Drosophila melanogaster: one gene and its partner. The protein of the gene in region 2 interacts with the protein of the main gene of each other region in a pairwise test. Each region holds a gene or a part of one and is shown on either strand. Other genes may lie near its edges. The genes, in order: CG13949 and CG13907.

Evidence for each region.
Region 1: the proteins of CG13907 (region 2) and CG13949 interact in a two-hybrid assay, tested with the Drosophila melanogaster proteins (one large-scale study listed by BioGRID).

Annotation. Positions count from the first base shown.
Region 1 is NT_033779.5:853,645-860,556, reverse strand, and holds CG13949 (uncharacterized protein), read right to left. Parts: upstream 5,087-6,912; 5' UTR 5,008-5,086; coding exon 4,934-5,007; intron 4,871-4,933; coding exon 4,747-4,870; intron 4,690-4,746; coding exon 4,450-4,689; 3' UTR 3,918-4,449; downstream 1-3,917. Other genes in the region: CG13950 (uncharacterized protein), read right to left, coding at 148-236; kraken, read right to left, coding at 6,174-6,912.
Region 2 is NT_037436.4:878,200-885,315, reverse strand, and holds the start of CG13907 (uncharacterized protein), read left to right. Parts: upstream 1-3,302; 5' UTR 3,303-4,412; coding exon 4,413-6,863; 3' UTR 6,864-7,116.

The DNA of each region.
Region 1 (6,912 bases), on a different chromosome or scaffold from region 2:
ACTTTTTGAACTAATTGGTTTATTTCATTTGGTTAATTTCATTTGGTTAGAAAATCAGCTTCTACATTTGACCTTTGACTTTAACCCAGATCAAAGCGGTATTCTTTTAGTGGAGAACCGGGTATCCAAACTATGAAAGATGATTACTTATTCGGATGAGGCTTGACGCGCCCACTGACGATGAGGACGTGTCCGAATGGGACCTCCGTTAGGACCTTTGCTTTCCAAACGTTCATCGCGGCTCCACGGCTCCACTGCAACTGAGTCGACGAGTGCGAATCCTCGATGGAATCCAGCCGGATCCGGCGCCGTTTTATGCGCCCTTATGCTAATAGATTCGCCATCCGTCGCCTTTCCTCGTTCATTTGTTGTGATTATGTAAAGGCGGGTGAAATGGGGAATTACCTGCAGCCGCATGCAAACTTGACATGGACGTGGATGTGGACGTGGTAAGGTTACCCCCAGGCCCATGCCCGAACCCACCCCGGTCGGAGCTCAACCCGTTCAATCGAATCCCATATAAATCCACTCGGTGGTGGCTCCCTGTCCCCCTGGCCACCTAATAACCGACCCAGTGAGCCGCGCTCCATGACGAGAACCTTGCGCGTTTATTTATTTGATTCAATCCTTGCCTTTGTAACCCATAACTGTCATCCTCGAGTTCTTTTCACGGTTGCTGTCACGCCCCCAACTGCCGACTGCCCATTTGTTGCTAGTTACCAGCGACACTGGGAGAAAAACTAGCCAAAGATAAGTTATTATCCTTATTTTTGCTTAAATATTGAATATTCAGTATTGTTGCACCACATAACTTGGGAAACCCGGAAGCGTTGTAATACTTTTTCGAAGATAAAACATTTATGATCCTAACTCGAAAAACTGCTTATCGCATAATGAATTTCCGATCATAAAATTAATTGCCCGAATAACTTTGCAAGCTACTAGTTATAAAAATACAAGGAATATGTTGTAATTGTCATCTTAAATTCATATTAAGAAAGTATAAGTGCTAGTTGGAGGAATAGGCACTCCTTGATGGTGGCTCATATCCTTTTTATATCTTACTGCTACATTTTAGTACTCCTAGTAACCACTATTACTAGAATGTCTTCTAGCCGTGTTCTCCATCTTGGCCTCTCCCCTTTTGACGGTTCCATTGTTGTTGCGTGTCTTGGGCGAAATAAAACAAGGTAACAACAATTGATTCCCTGTCTAAAGTTTTTGCATTTGCAGTAAAGTGCGACTTGGGGGCTGGAGCACTTTGCCAGCCCCTCCTCGAGACATCCCCCTTCCAACTAGCTACGACTCCAGTCCGGGTAATTCATTTCTCCTGACGTACCTTGGCATATTCGCTGAAGTTCTGTCTCCGTCTACACCTTTCGCTTTCGTCCACGTCCAAACCAATGACATCTTCCCAGGGCTCCACTCGTGCCCTCGAACAGTGGAAGGTCCTTAAAGGCGACCAGTCCATCCATCCGATCCCAGATCTCAGCCAGAGCTTTGATTTCTATTAGCCTTAATCGAACTATTTCTAAGATCAAGATCTAAGATCTAAGATCTCTTCGAAAGGAGGGGTCCTGCTTGGAGGCTTCACTGTACTCCCCCAACGAAAACGTGGCCTCTGTTTGTCTATGCCATCTTCGCTGTTTCTGTCGCTTGCACCTGATCGAATTGGGTCCAAGTCTTCAGCTTAACTCGACTTGGCTGGGCGCACTTATTTCTGGCTGCGTTTCACCTTGGAGCACCCGGGCCAGCTGGTGACCCACCCGACCCAACCATCCGAAGATGTGCCTGGCTTTGCCTGCTACGAATGGCAATCGCTAATTGGTTAGTTATGGCCACTGACAATCAATCCGTCAATCGGCAACTAGACTGCCGAATATAAACATCCGGGTGACCTTGCCAGCTCCTGCCTTTCGGATCCGACCTTTCGGATCACTCCGCCCACTTGTTCGGCCCTTCGCAAACAGAACTAATGAAATAATCGTGTCGATTTCAACTTTAATTTCCGCTTGTCACTCCAACTGATAAACCGAAAGCAAGTGGAGCAATGCGAGCAAGGTTTGTGTACGTTGCACAATTATCAGTTTGGCTTCGGCTACCTTTTTACCTTATAGAGAGAGTGCCACGTTTGCCCTACCCACAAAGCCCTTTGCCACCCCACTGCACTGGAAGAAAATAGATAAAAAAGATACCTTCAATATACCTACTTCATATATCTTCAATCATCAGCTCGTATAATCATCGACATATCAAATAAGTTTCTGGGTGGTAAGATAATTCCTCGAAATGATCAGCACACTGTGTATGTTTTTCTTTCGGTGCTCCCAGAGTTCCCAGAGCTCTTATCTCGTTCCCAAGTCAGTTTCCCCAGCCGTATCGAATCGGTTGGGGCAAAGCGACGACACGTCTACAGAAATCAGATTTTACAGTCGGCCAACTGGCGACGGATCCGCAAATCGTACAACCAATATAGTGATAATGGGTTTACGGCCCCGAGCGACCGTGCCAGCGCACCAAGTGGAGTATCCGATTCCCAGCCCCAGCCCCAGCCGAAGAGCAGTTCTCCACTCGGATTCGGATTCGGAGTCGGAGTCGGAGTCGGACTCCGAAACCCAAACGGAAGCCGAGTATGGCGGCGGATTTAATCAGCCGGCGTCTGCTATTTGGGAGCGGAGCGAATCACGTCGCTTCTCGGTATCAGTGCCAGGCTAATCATTCCAGATCGATGGGCCTTCGAGGAGGCGCTGCTCATGGGGTTCAGACCCACCCCCGATCCTCACCTGCTGACGTACCCAGTTGGGATCACCAAGCGTGGCCAACTCATTAGTTCACTCGAGCTGTTAGCAGACCGAAAGACAACTTCCTTGGGAGGTGGCCACCATATCCACCTTGTATATCCGATCTCCACCACGTGGCGCTTTAGTCGGACATGAAAATAACTTAAGCCAAACGAACAAACTTTCGGGATGATCACAGTTTGCATTCCCTTGGCCCAAGTAATTCGCTGCCCGGAAGGGGTTTCGGATGGCTCCATGTCGGAGTAGCTACACGTAGGCACCGCCACCTCCACACTGGGTGCTCCATATCTAGCCGCCGATCGGTTGGATCGGGCGGCACAATATGCACTTGTCGCGACTCGGAACGTAACTGAAACGTCGGATTTGACGGTGAAGTTTAAAACACCAGCTCCCGACCAAGAATCGGGGCCCCACGAAGTACACCCAGTATCGTCGATCGGTTGCCCATATCTCACCTGTACAGGTGCGAATGCCAGGAGCTCGGCAACGAGCAGCAGAGGAGTGGGAGCGGGAGCGGGAGAGCCGAAAAACAGAAACGGAAAGCAAATAAATATGAAATATTGAACTGGAGCAGAAAGTGGGTGATATTCCGAGATAGCACTCACATCCGAGCGTGCGTGCTGTCTTTGTATTGGCCATTAAACGCCGCTGTCAACGTAGCCGAAGGGCTGAGAAGAAAATGAAATAGAAATGGAAATGCCAGTGGAAACGGAGCTGTCGCCCCACAATTTGTCTCAATAGCTGGCCTTATCAGAACAGGTAGTGGTGCGCACAGGTGAGGGCTCTCGCCCGCTCCCTTTGCCTGCGACCCCCGGTCGGGTGCATCCATTCAGGCCAGCTCACAGCTCAGGTCACTACGATAGTGGTGAAATGTAGTAAGGTAATAGGCTGCCCAAGATCACCATTTGATCTAATGCCTAGAAGAGAAAGAAACTCGTTGATCCCACCATTACAGTTTTTGGCTGATTATGGTACAATCCCTGTTATAAGTATCGCTTATATCTCTATGACCCCGGCTGTACCGCTGACAAGTGACACCTTCGACCCACCCGCGCTATCGCCGGCGACTTTATCAGAAGACAAGGCGAACATGCCAAGAGAGTCATAATTTTCTTTGATGTTCGCACGAGACGGAGTGTCATTAATTGATTTATTACCAAGTTGATTGCCTGGGCTTCCTTTCGGCGTGCTCCACTCAGATTTGGCGATGTCCAAGTGGTTAGATGGCCAACTAATTAGGTAAATGTGTTTGCTCTAATGTTGCCTGCCTGACTGCAGGAGATATCTTCTCGCCTTGGCAGATACACAATACTTCCAGCGGTGATAACGTCGAGGGTGGGAACATCGTCGTCGATGGGGCACTTAGATGATTGGGATGGCAACAAGGTGGCCCGCTGCGGCTGCATTTCGTCAACCGTTGTTTGCTCCATTTCGATCATTGTTTGAAGTGGGAACAGAATGTGTGAGCATACACCCCATTTCACTTGGCATTCCCATTCGCATTCTACCTTTCTCGATTCAATTTCCAGCAAATGTGTACACTTGCGGCTTGTTTATTCAGCTTGGCAGTGTCTCACTTGTGAACAATATATACAACTGGATCAAATGTGGCCACACGAATTGCTCGAGTTCCAGGGAAATACATGTCTTATAGATCGGTCTGTTGCCTCTTGGCCTCCATCACATTCTGCATGACCAGATCATAGAGATTTTCCTCCTCCCCCTCCTCCTCCTGGTTGTCTGGGTTCTTCGGATCCTTGCCCCTATCCTCTGCGTCCTGCAGACTCTCCAGCTCCCGTCGGTAGTTCTGCAGGGCCTGTTGAAGGAGTTTCTCCACGGGAGAGTACGTGGAACGCGATCTCAAACGGGCCTTGGCTATTTCCAGAGCCTGCAATGGGAATGGGAACAACCTTATGAACCTCTGATATCCCAAGAGATGGCTTACCTTCAAGGTGTTGGTGTTTCGCAGGAGAGCCTCTTCGTAGGACAGAACCTTGGGAGCAGGTGCACAGATTGAAGACTCGGCCAGCTGCTCGTTCTGCCGTTCCAGTTTTAGTTCCTCGGCTTGCCTAGAGATGTAGTCCAATATATGTATGTAACATCATCCTTGCACAGTGCCATGACCAACCTACACTTTCTCCAGTTTCTGGTCGATCTCCGCCTCGAGGGCCATGTATTTGTCGTTGATCTCCTTGATGAGGTCCATTGTGCGTCCTTGCAAACGGATTTTGTAAATTTGTAAACAAAAGCCCAAACAAACGAGTTGCCATGCAACGGTAATTTGTTTGGCAACCGTTACGAGGCGTTGCCAGCCGTGGGGAAACTTTTGGAGACGAATGGAGTTGCCACGTAGATAGATAAATATAGCGGTAGCATGAACCCTTAAGTGCCAACGATATTTTACATGGAATTTAAAAATACTATTTTACACTCCAAAAAAATTTTATTGGTTTCAAATTTAAATTACAAGAGAAAGGAGATATTTGATACATGCTAAAATAAAAAGCATACCAAACATAACAATTTTCATAGTGTTAATGAGAACCCTTTATTTCGATATCAGTTGGTTGTAAAGATTTCAGCTTTATCTGAATAGTCAATAAATGCGAAAGTAATTACATAGGAAAATGCGATAGTTTATCTCCCCATGATTTATTATATTTTCGAATAAACCAATTTTGTCAACTGTCTTGCTATTCGAAATTAATTTTCATTTGAGTTATCGTAGAGTTGATATATATTCACTTTATATAGCTCTATTGTTCATAGAAGATATATGTATGTATGTACGTCAGCATTATCTAGGAGACGCAAGTTTATTTTCTAGGTGGAACCTTTTTCGGTTTTTACACCTTCAGGTTTTAATCTCTGTTTAATCAAATTACGACTTTAGGCGCGACTACCTAAAGTTTCTTTTTGTCTAATTTGATGACTAAAGGCGATGATTATAGCATTAGATATCTTTTGAGACCTTCAATACTTTGGTTCAAAGGTCGAGAAAAGGTCTGCGTCTCAATCAGATAAGGGTAATTAAATATTAAGGGCTTTCACCACGAAACTCGCTTAGCACTCCAATAAAAGTGTTTTTAACTGTGACTTGCTAAAAAGAGAATAGTAGCTATTAAAAGATTTACTTTGAAGATATTTTGCTAAACAGCTAACTCGCCGCACAAAGTCCAAGTAGCAAAGCTGTGACGAAAAGACTTTACCTTGTTTAGTCATAAATTTGTGTTTATTATCTGTTATAACATTTAGAGCCGTGCAAATCGGGCACATACCTTTGATCACTGTACATCACAAGTGGGATGAAATACACTAACTATATACACACACAGTACTCTCTATCTAGCCGTCTACTTAAGTAATGGAATCTTACGCCTCCTTCAGGAATCGAATAATGTGGGGCGCCACTCGATCCGGGGTGACCAGGTGCAGATGATGGGTGCCGGGCACCTCAACGTAGACCACCTTCGCGGCATTCTCCCGCAGCGTGGCAATCACATCCGCATACACCTGTGGCGTCTCGAACTTCATGCCGGGAATACCCCGAATGTTGAGCACGCGACAGCGAATCTGGCGTGCGTAGGCCAACGTCTGCTCGGCGGTGAACATGCCCAGCAGGCTTACTTTTAGCCTCAGATCCCTGGCAAAGAGGTAGCCATTCTTGCTCGGATTGTGCCTCATTCCCCTGTTCATGAGCACACGAACCGAAGGCTCATCCACGGACCCATCGTACGCGTCCAGCACCAGTTTGATCATCTCGTCGTACGAGTAGCAGGGCTGCTTGCTCTCCGGCAGGGTTTCGTAGTCCAGGAACTTGTCCAGCGCCCTGCCAGTGCCCTCCGCCATCCGTTGGGTGCCGCGCACCGTGGGACCCGCGATATCGATGTTGATCAGCTTCTCCACCTCCGTGGGAAAGCTGGCCGCGTACATGAAGGTCAGAGCTCCGCCCAGCGAGTGGCCCAGCAGAGTGACGTTCTTCCAGTTATACTTGCGGACTATCCGGCGAATCAGGCATATGCCGTCCCAGAAGATGAAGTACTGCATGCCCATCGGATAGTGCGACGACTTGCCGTGCCCGGGCAGATCGATGGCCAGGATGGAGGTGTCC
Region 2 (7,116 bases):
ATAATATATCTTCTTTTCCCAAAATGCAATAGCATAAAAGAGAAGACGATACTTTTTCATTTTCCAGCCCACGCGTCGTATGCGTAATGTGAGTCACACACATTCGCACGCCTTCATTGCTGATTGAACTGACCCGTATGCAATGAAACGACTGGTCTTCCCATAACGAAGCTTATTCGCTGCCCCATTGAAATTGATAAGTAATCTGCTCAAGCGTTGGATAATTCATGGCGGATACGGAGCAATGTAGAATACAATGAAGAATGAGCACAGTTTCCACCGCCTGGCAACAGGGCCAAAAACGAATTGTTGCAGGCAATTCAATTGAATTCATTTGTGTCAATTTATAATAAATAATACCCTGCGCAAAGAAGACAAGCGGGGAAAAGCTTAGAACAATAAGTGAAATTGAATGCGAACGAAAATTGCATAATTCTGAGAGCCACGCGACCTTCGCCGCAGAAGAAAAACAAACAAACTATAAAGTTTTTGGTGCGGATAACACGGATAGAGGGGTAAGTAAGGGTTCTTCGCCACCTTATCGTCAAGTTATTTACAAGCTGTTGACGGTTTACTGCGAAGTGCCTTTAAAGCATCAACTGATAGGCATCGATGGTGCGGTGACGAGCGACAGAAGTTAACGTGAACTGACAGCCGTGGAATACAAGGACACGCGCTGAAATGTATCCTGGTGCCAACCGCCCCCACACGCCCACATTAACATATAAATGCGAGTAGCAGATTACGAAGGAGCGGAGCTCGGTTCAGTGTAACCCGTACATACAGTAGAACTCTGGGGAGAAGTCCGAGCACTTCACGAGATAAATTTAAACTTAAGTGGAACAAAAAACATGATTTGGAATCGGTAGTTTCGCATAGTCGCAAGTCTTCTGATATGACGATTTCCCACAATTCGGATTGATTATGGGCCAAGTTCGACTGTAGCTGCCAGATAGGCAATGTATCTGACAGATACTGAGGCCAGGCTCATCGGCAAAACGGGTGCCGCATACAAAGCAACGCAACAAGTTGAACAAGCAAAAAACAGCAAGGTAAAACAGTCGAAGCATCAAACTGCGTCATTTTGAAAACACAATATTCTACAAGCTGTATTTTTGTATCCGTCGCCGTGTATCTGTATCTGTATCTGTACCTGAATCGGGGCAATGGCAATGGCAAGGAAAGCGTTGTCAGCGTAAAAAAAAAAAAACGCTTAGCAGCCAAACAAAGCGAGAAAAGCATTGACTACACAACACGGCGTATGCGCAATTTTCATTTTCATTAACAAAGAAGGCATGGGAATTAGCAAGAAAGGGGATGGTGGACATGAAGGGGTGCTCTTAGTGGGGTGCTGCGAAGAGGGTGGGGTGACAATAATTGAAGAGTCATCACTGGTTCATTCAACCTTTCAGCAACGAGGAAATAAAGAACTGAGGAAAGCTCTTGGCCAGCTGGAGAAAAATCTTTTTGTGTTCTTGTCTGTGCAAAGCTCTGTTCCCTCAGCAAAAGATGAATAGTTCAAGGATAGTTTATTCATTGCAAAAAGTGAACATCTGTGACAGTGGGAAAAACAATTTACGCTCATAAAGTGGAAAGAAAAATGTCCCTTTTATCAAACTTGTCACGTTTACTTGAAATATTTTAATTAAAACTCAGTATTAAGTTTAGTCCTATTGTGTTTGATATTACCTTAAGTAGTTTTTCTCAGTGCATTGCCCTATTTCACCCACATTTCACTCGCTTGCGTTTGGTTTTTTGGCACAGAATTCTGTTTTAAATGGGCCAGCTAATTTCCCAAAGACACCTGGTGCAAACGGCCACTAAGCAATCCATCCCGCTCATTTTGGCCCCTGAAACTTTGGATATCGAGTGTCACGGGCAACGTCCTAGTTTTCCAAACGTCCTGAGTGCATTGCATTTTGCGGCACATGCAATTTTAATAAGAGGAATTCTAAACGCACACATTGCGGTATAACAGTTTTGCTGCGATTACCGCTGTTTCGGATTAAATTTCAGTTAGGTTAAGTGTGATTTGTAGGCACACGCAGATTGCTAGCCAAGATTGGAGGCGTTGGCCATTTGAGGCCCCACGTAATGCGTTAATAACAGAGCAGCAAATCGAGTTAGCGAATCGGAACACAAAAAATAACATGAAAGAATCGTGGGAAGAGCCAAAGTGGCGCCCTCTGGCGTTGACCCACAATATCGGAGGGGTTTCATTTTCCTTCCATGTGAGCGTGTGTTTGACATGGAATTTTTATGAATGACATTGACCAACCACCCAAGAAGAAGAAGAACTGCTCACATCCCCCCGAAGGAAAGAGAGAGCCAAAGAGAACGAAAGAATTCTCTTACGACGCCTCACCGCAACAAATACGACGAAAAAGTGCTAACCAAGCCGAAAAACTGTTATAAACAACCAGAAGACAAAAAGCACATTTTTACGATTTTACGACCTGGCAACAGACGAAAAAGTTGATAAACAAAATAACTAGAAATATCTCAAAAGGCCTTCTTATCAGCTGCGTGTCGAATGCATTTTATTATTTAGGCGAGCCAACTGTAAAGATAATGCGCGGATTATACAATGGTCGGCGCCTAAAAGGCGGCAGACAAAAGTAACACTTTCGCCCGAACACGCACTTAGAATGACAGTAGAACTTCCCTAAATGAAACTTACAGTTTGGGAGTTGCACTGTTATTATTAAAAATAATTAAAAATATAAAATATAAATATAAAATATAAAATATAAATATCTACTCTATGGAAGTGATTTGCCTTGATATTTTGAAAAAGCATTTAGCAGTGCATTTGTTACACATTCGCTACAAGAGTAGGAAAAACATCCGTATGTTCAAAATCTTTAAAAGTGTCTTTAAGAAAATGTAATTTCCGTGTAAGATGTCCTGCAAAATTTTGCGTAGCTTCTGAAAAGTAAAAGTTAACCTTTAACCTAAATCGGCAGTAAAGAGCAACAGTTTCTGCGCTCTTTGGTTTAGGAACGTTGTGCAGTATAACAGTTTGAACAATTGCTGTGGCCATGTGGCAAAAGGCGGTTACCGGTTTTTCAGGCTTTACCTTTTCAAATTCAAATCAAAGAAAAGCAAAGATGATAAAAAGAAGGGAGAAAGACAAAAAGACAACCCTTGGGCAAACAAAGAGGGGTTGTTTGTCTTGGCTCTCCCTATCACTGCCACTCTCCCGCTCTCGCGGCTATTTGTTTTTGTTTCAATCAGCTGTTTTTTGGGGACGAGAGAGCGCGAGTGGAGCTTGCGCTCTGTGAGCTTGAACTTCAAATGCAACAAAACGGGCGACAGAGCGAAGGAGAGAGGGCGAGTGTTTTTACAGAAACTTAGAATTTGTCTTTGTATATCGTATAACAGTCGCTATTTGCTGCCGTTACGAGGAATTTTCATTTTCATTTCGCAGCGGACGGCGCAGCAGTTCAGAACAAAACTCGGGGAATTCAAAATCGGAATCGGAGATTGTTATTTTTCGCCAGATTCGCAAAAAGCAAATGAAAATGTCGCCCAAATGCAACTGCAGCTAAAAGTTATCGAGTAGTGTGTGTGTGCCGCCGAGTGTGTGCGTGGTGTGCGCTTTTTATCGATCACACTCCGCTCTTCTTCCTCCTCCTTTCCACCTCACCTCCCCACCCCATACCAACTCAGACACTCTGTCACGCTCTCCAATCGAATTTCAAAGCTGAAAATCGAAAAATTATACAATTGCATTCGCAAATTACGACGTACACACGTACGTACGTACGTACAGCACCCCCAAAAAAGCTGAGGAAATCACAGAAACGCAAAATCAAAGTCAAAGAAAAATCAAAGCAAAGAACCAGCGAAAATCGGGCAAATTTAAGGAAAACAAACATTTTCTAGTGACCTCAGCTGCAGCTGCAAGTGCAAGTTAAAAATACACAAACAAAGCGGAAATAAGCGAAAATAAAGCACAAAAACCGCAAGGAAAATAGTAACGGTTAAGTTGAAACCAGCACAAAATAAAGTCAAACTGTTCAACTGGAGCTAAAATATTAATAAACCAGGCCAAAGGCAGCACTCGTCTAATATTTGCTTAAATACAGGCAGCCCACGCCTTTTATCGCTAGTGAATTTATGAATTTATCAAACTAAACGAAAACAAAAACTCAATAACAATTGACACACACTCACACAAAAGCCAACTGCAGTGGGAGAGCAGCGAAGAGCGAGCTTGCAAAGAGCGAGAGTGAAGAGATAAACTTGGGCTCTCTCCTTCGCATTTGGCATTCACACGCGGGCAGCGACGCCAAGCGGACGTTCCTCCTCCTTCTTCGCCCTTCGCACTTCACACTTTCTAGCCCACTTTTTCAACTCCACCAAAACCGCGTGTGTGCCCGGGAACCCTAACCCTTCGTCCCGCCAACATGGTGGATACAAACAGTTCAAATCCGGGAATCGTGGGTGGAAACTCCGCCTCGTCCGCCAGGCTGAGGAGATTCGAGCGGACGGACAGTGAGCTGGCCTGCGAGGAGGCGGCCAGGCTGACGGCGGAACAGAGTCCGGAGGACGAGGACAATCAGGACAACGACGAGGATGACGACGACGAGGAGAGCGTGTACGGGGAACTGCCGCCTCCGCCGGACGGAGGATACGGCTGGGTCATCTGCTTCGCCAGCTTCATGTGCAACATGATCGTGGACGGTATCGCCTACACGTTCGGCATCTTCCTGGAGGAGTTCGTGGCCTACTTCCACGAGGGCAAGGGTACGGTGGCCTGGGTGGGCAGTCTTCTGTCAGGAGTCTACCTCAGCGCCGGACCTATCGTTTCCGCCCTGGCCAACAAGTACGGATGCCGAGCCGTCTGCATAGCCGGGAGCATAATCGCCTGCATAGCCTTCGTCTTGAGTACGTTCAGTACCAACGTGAGCATGCTGATGGCCACCTATGGCTTCATGGGGGGATTCGGGTTCGGCATGATTTATCTGCCTGCTGTAGTGGCCGTGGGCTATTACTTTGAAACCAAGCGGAGTCTGGCCACAGGAATTGCGGTCTGCGGCTCTGGCTTTGGCACCTTCGCCTTTGCCCCGCTGGCCACCTATCTCCTGGAGGAGTACGGCTGGAAAAACGCCCTGCTCATCTTTGCTGGCCTGATCCTCAACTGCGCCATCTTCGGAGCCATGATGCGGCCACTGACCTACCCGAAAAAGAAGAAGCAGAAGCCCTTGATGCAAAGGATGTACGAGGAGAAGCAGCTGCAGCTGGAAAGGGGTTCCTTTGCGGGCTCCCACTTCATGGTGCAGTTACCGGATGGAACCATCGAGCGGAAACTGAAGATGCCGCTCAATGCGGATCCCGGTGTGCATTCCAGCTTGAATCTGGAGCTGCTGGCCCAACAGGCAGGCGGCGGAGGTCTGCATCCCGTCTCTACCCTGCCCACCATCACGGAGTCCAAAGTGGTGGATGTTCATCGACAGAACGGCGCGCAATCTCCACCAAATGGCGACAGCAATGGCCAGTTATCCGCTCGATCCGCCGCAGGTGCCGTCGGCCGCCGTCCTCACAGGAACTCGGAGTCGGAGAATAGTCCGTACCACTCGCAGGATGCCATGACCCGGAACGCATCGCAGCCCGCCTTCCTGGCCGGAGATCATCAGAGTTTGCCCAAAAACGGATCCGTGCCGGCATTCAACACGCGAGTTAGGAAAACCTCCGCCTCGGAGCGCTTCCAGCCTTCGCTGGCCGCCATCAGGGCCACTTCTCGCGGAGATTTGGAGGCAGGAGCAGGCGGTGACTTCGCCTCCTCGAAGTTGTCGCTTTCACAACGGCAGGGCGGCAGTCAAACTGGAAGCAGCGGCAGGATGGTGCGACCCATGTCCCGCAAGGATATCTTCTACTCGGGATCCGTGACGAACCTGCCGCAATATCAGTCCCAGAAGTCCTTGGCCAACTACAGGAATTCGGTGCTGTCGCTAACCAAGTACGAGAAGAGCATGCAGAGTGTGGCTAAATTGGATCCCTTGGCCGAGGCTGAGAAGCATCGCGAGGAGTATGACCTGTGTCCCTGCCTTGGCATTCCCGATTCCGTGAAGTCCGTGGTTAACACCATGTTGGATGTTAGCCTTCTGAAGGATCCCGTCTTCATGCTTATCGGAGTCTCGAATATTTTTGGCATGGCCGGACTGTACGTGCCCTTCGTCTACCTGGTGGATGCGGCCAAGGAACACGACATACCAAAGAACGATGCAGCCATGCTTCTGTCCATCATTGGCATCACCAACACCGTGGGCCGTGTCTTCTGCGGCTGGGTAGCGGACCTGCCGCAAGTGAACTCGCTACTGCTCAACAACTGCTGCCTGCTGGTGTCCACCATAGCCGTGACTTTGACCCCATTGTGCTACAGCTACGCGGCCTACATAACCATGTCCATATTCTTCGGACTGGCCATCTCGGGCTACATCTCGCTGACGTCAATTATCCTGGTCGACCTCCTCGGCCTGGACAAGCTAACAAATGCCTTCGGACTGCTGATCCTGTTCAGAGGATTTGCCGCCCTGATCGGAACGCCCTTGGCGGGAGCCATCTACGACATGACGCACACCTACGACCTGCCCTTTTACATGGCCGGTGCGTTGTTCGGCATCTCCACGATAACCAGTTTCCTGGCGCCCTGCTTGAAGAGATGCAGTCCCTCGGAGGAGACTCCTGTGCATGTGGAAACGCTCACACCCATCGACGAGGAGCAGGGCGAAGATGCCGAGGACGACGAGGATCAGCCGATCACCATAGTGCCCAAGATCATCAAGACACTGGCGAGTCCGCAACAGGAAGAGGGACATCCGCAGTTCCCCCAGAAGACAAGCGAATCGAAGCTCTAAGGAGACTTCGATCGGTTGGAAAGGAGAGAGAAGTGAATTTACAGGGGGCAGTGCGGAGCTTAAGAGGATCCGGTGAGATATTTTTCTATTTACTTATACAGCAGAGGAGGAGGAGATCAGAGATCGAGCACACCTATATACAAAGTGGAGAAGACGGATGGATATATATATAGCCAGCCCCACACCATATATACATATATATATATATATACCTTTAAGCCTAGGCAACAGCGGAGGATGAAGTGCGGAAAAT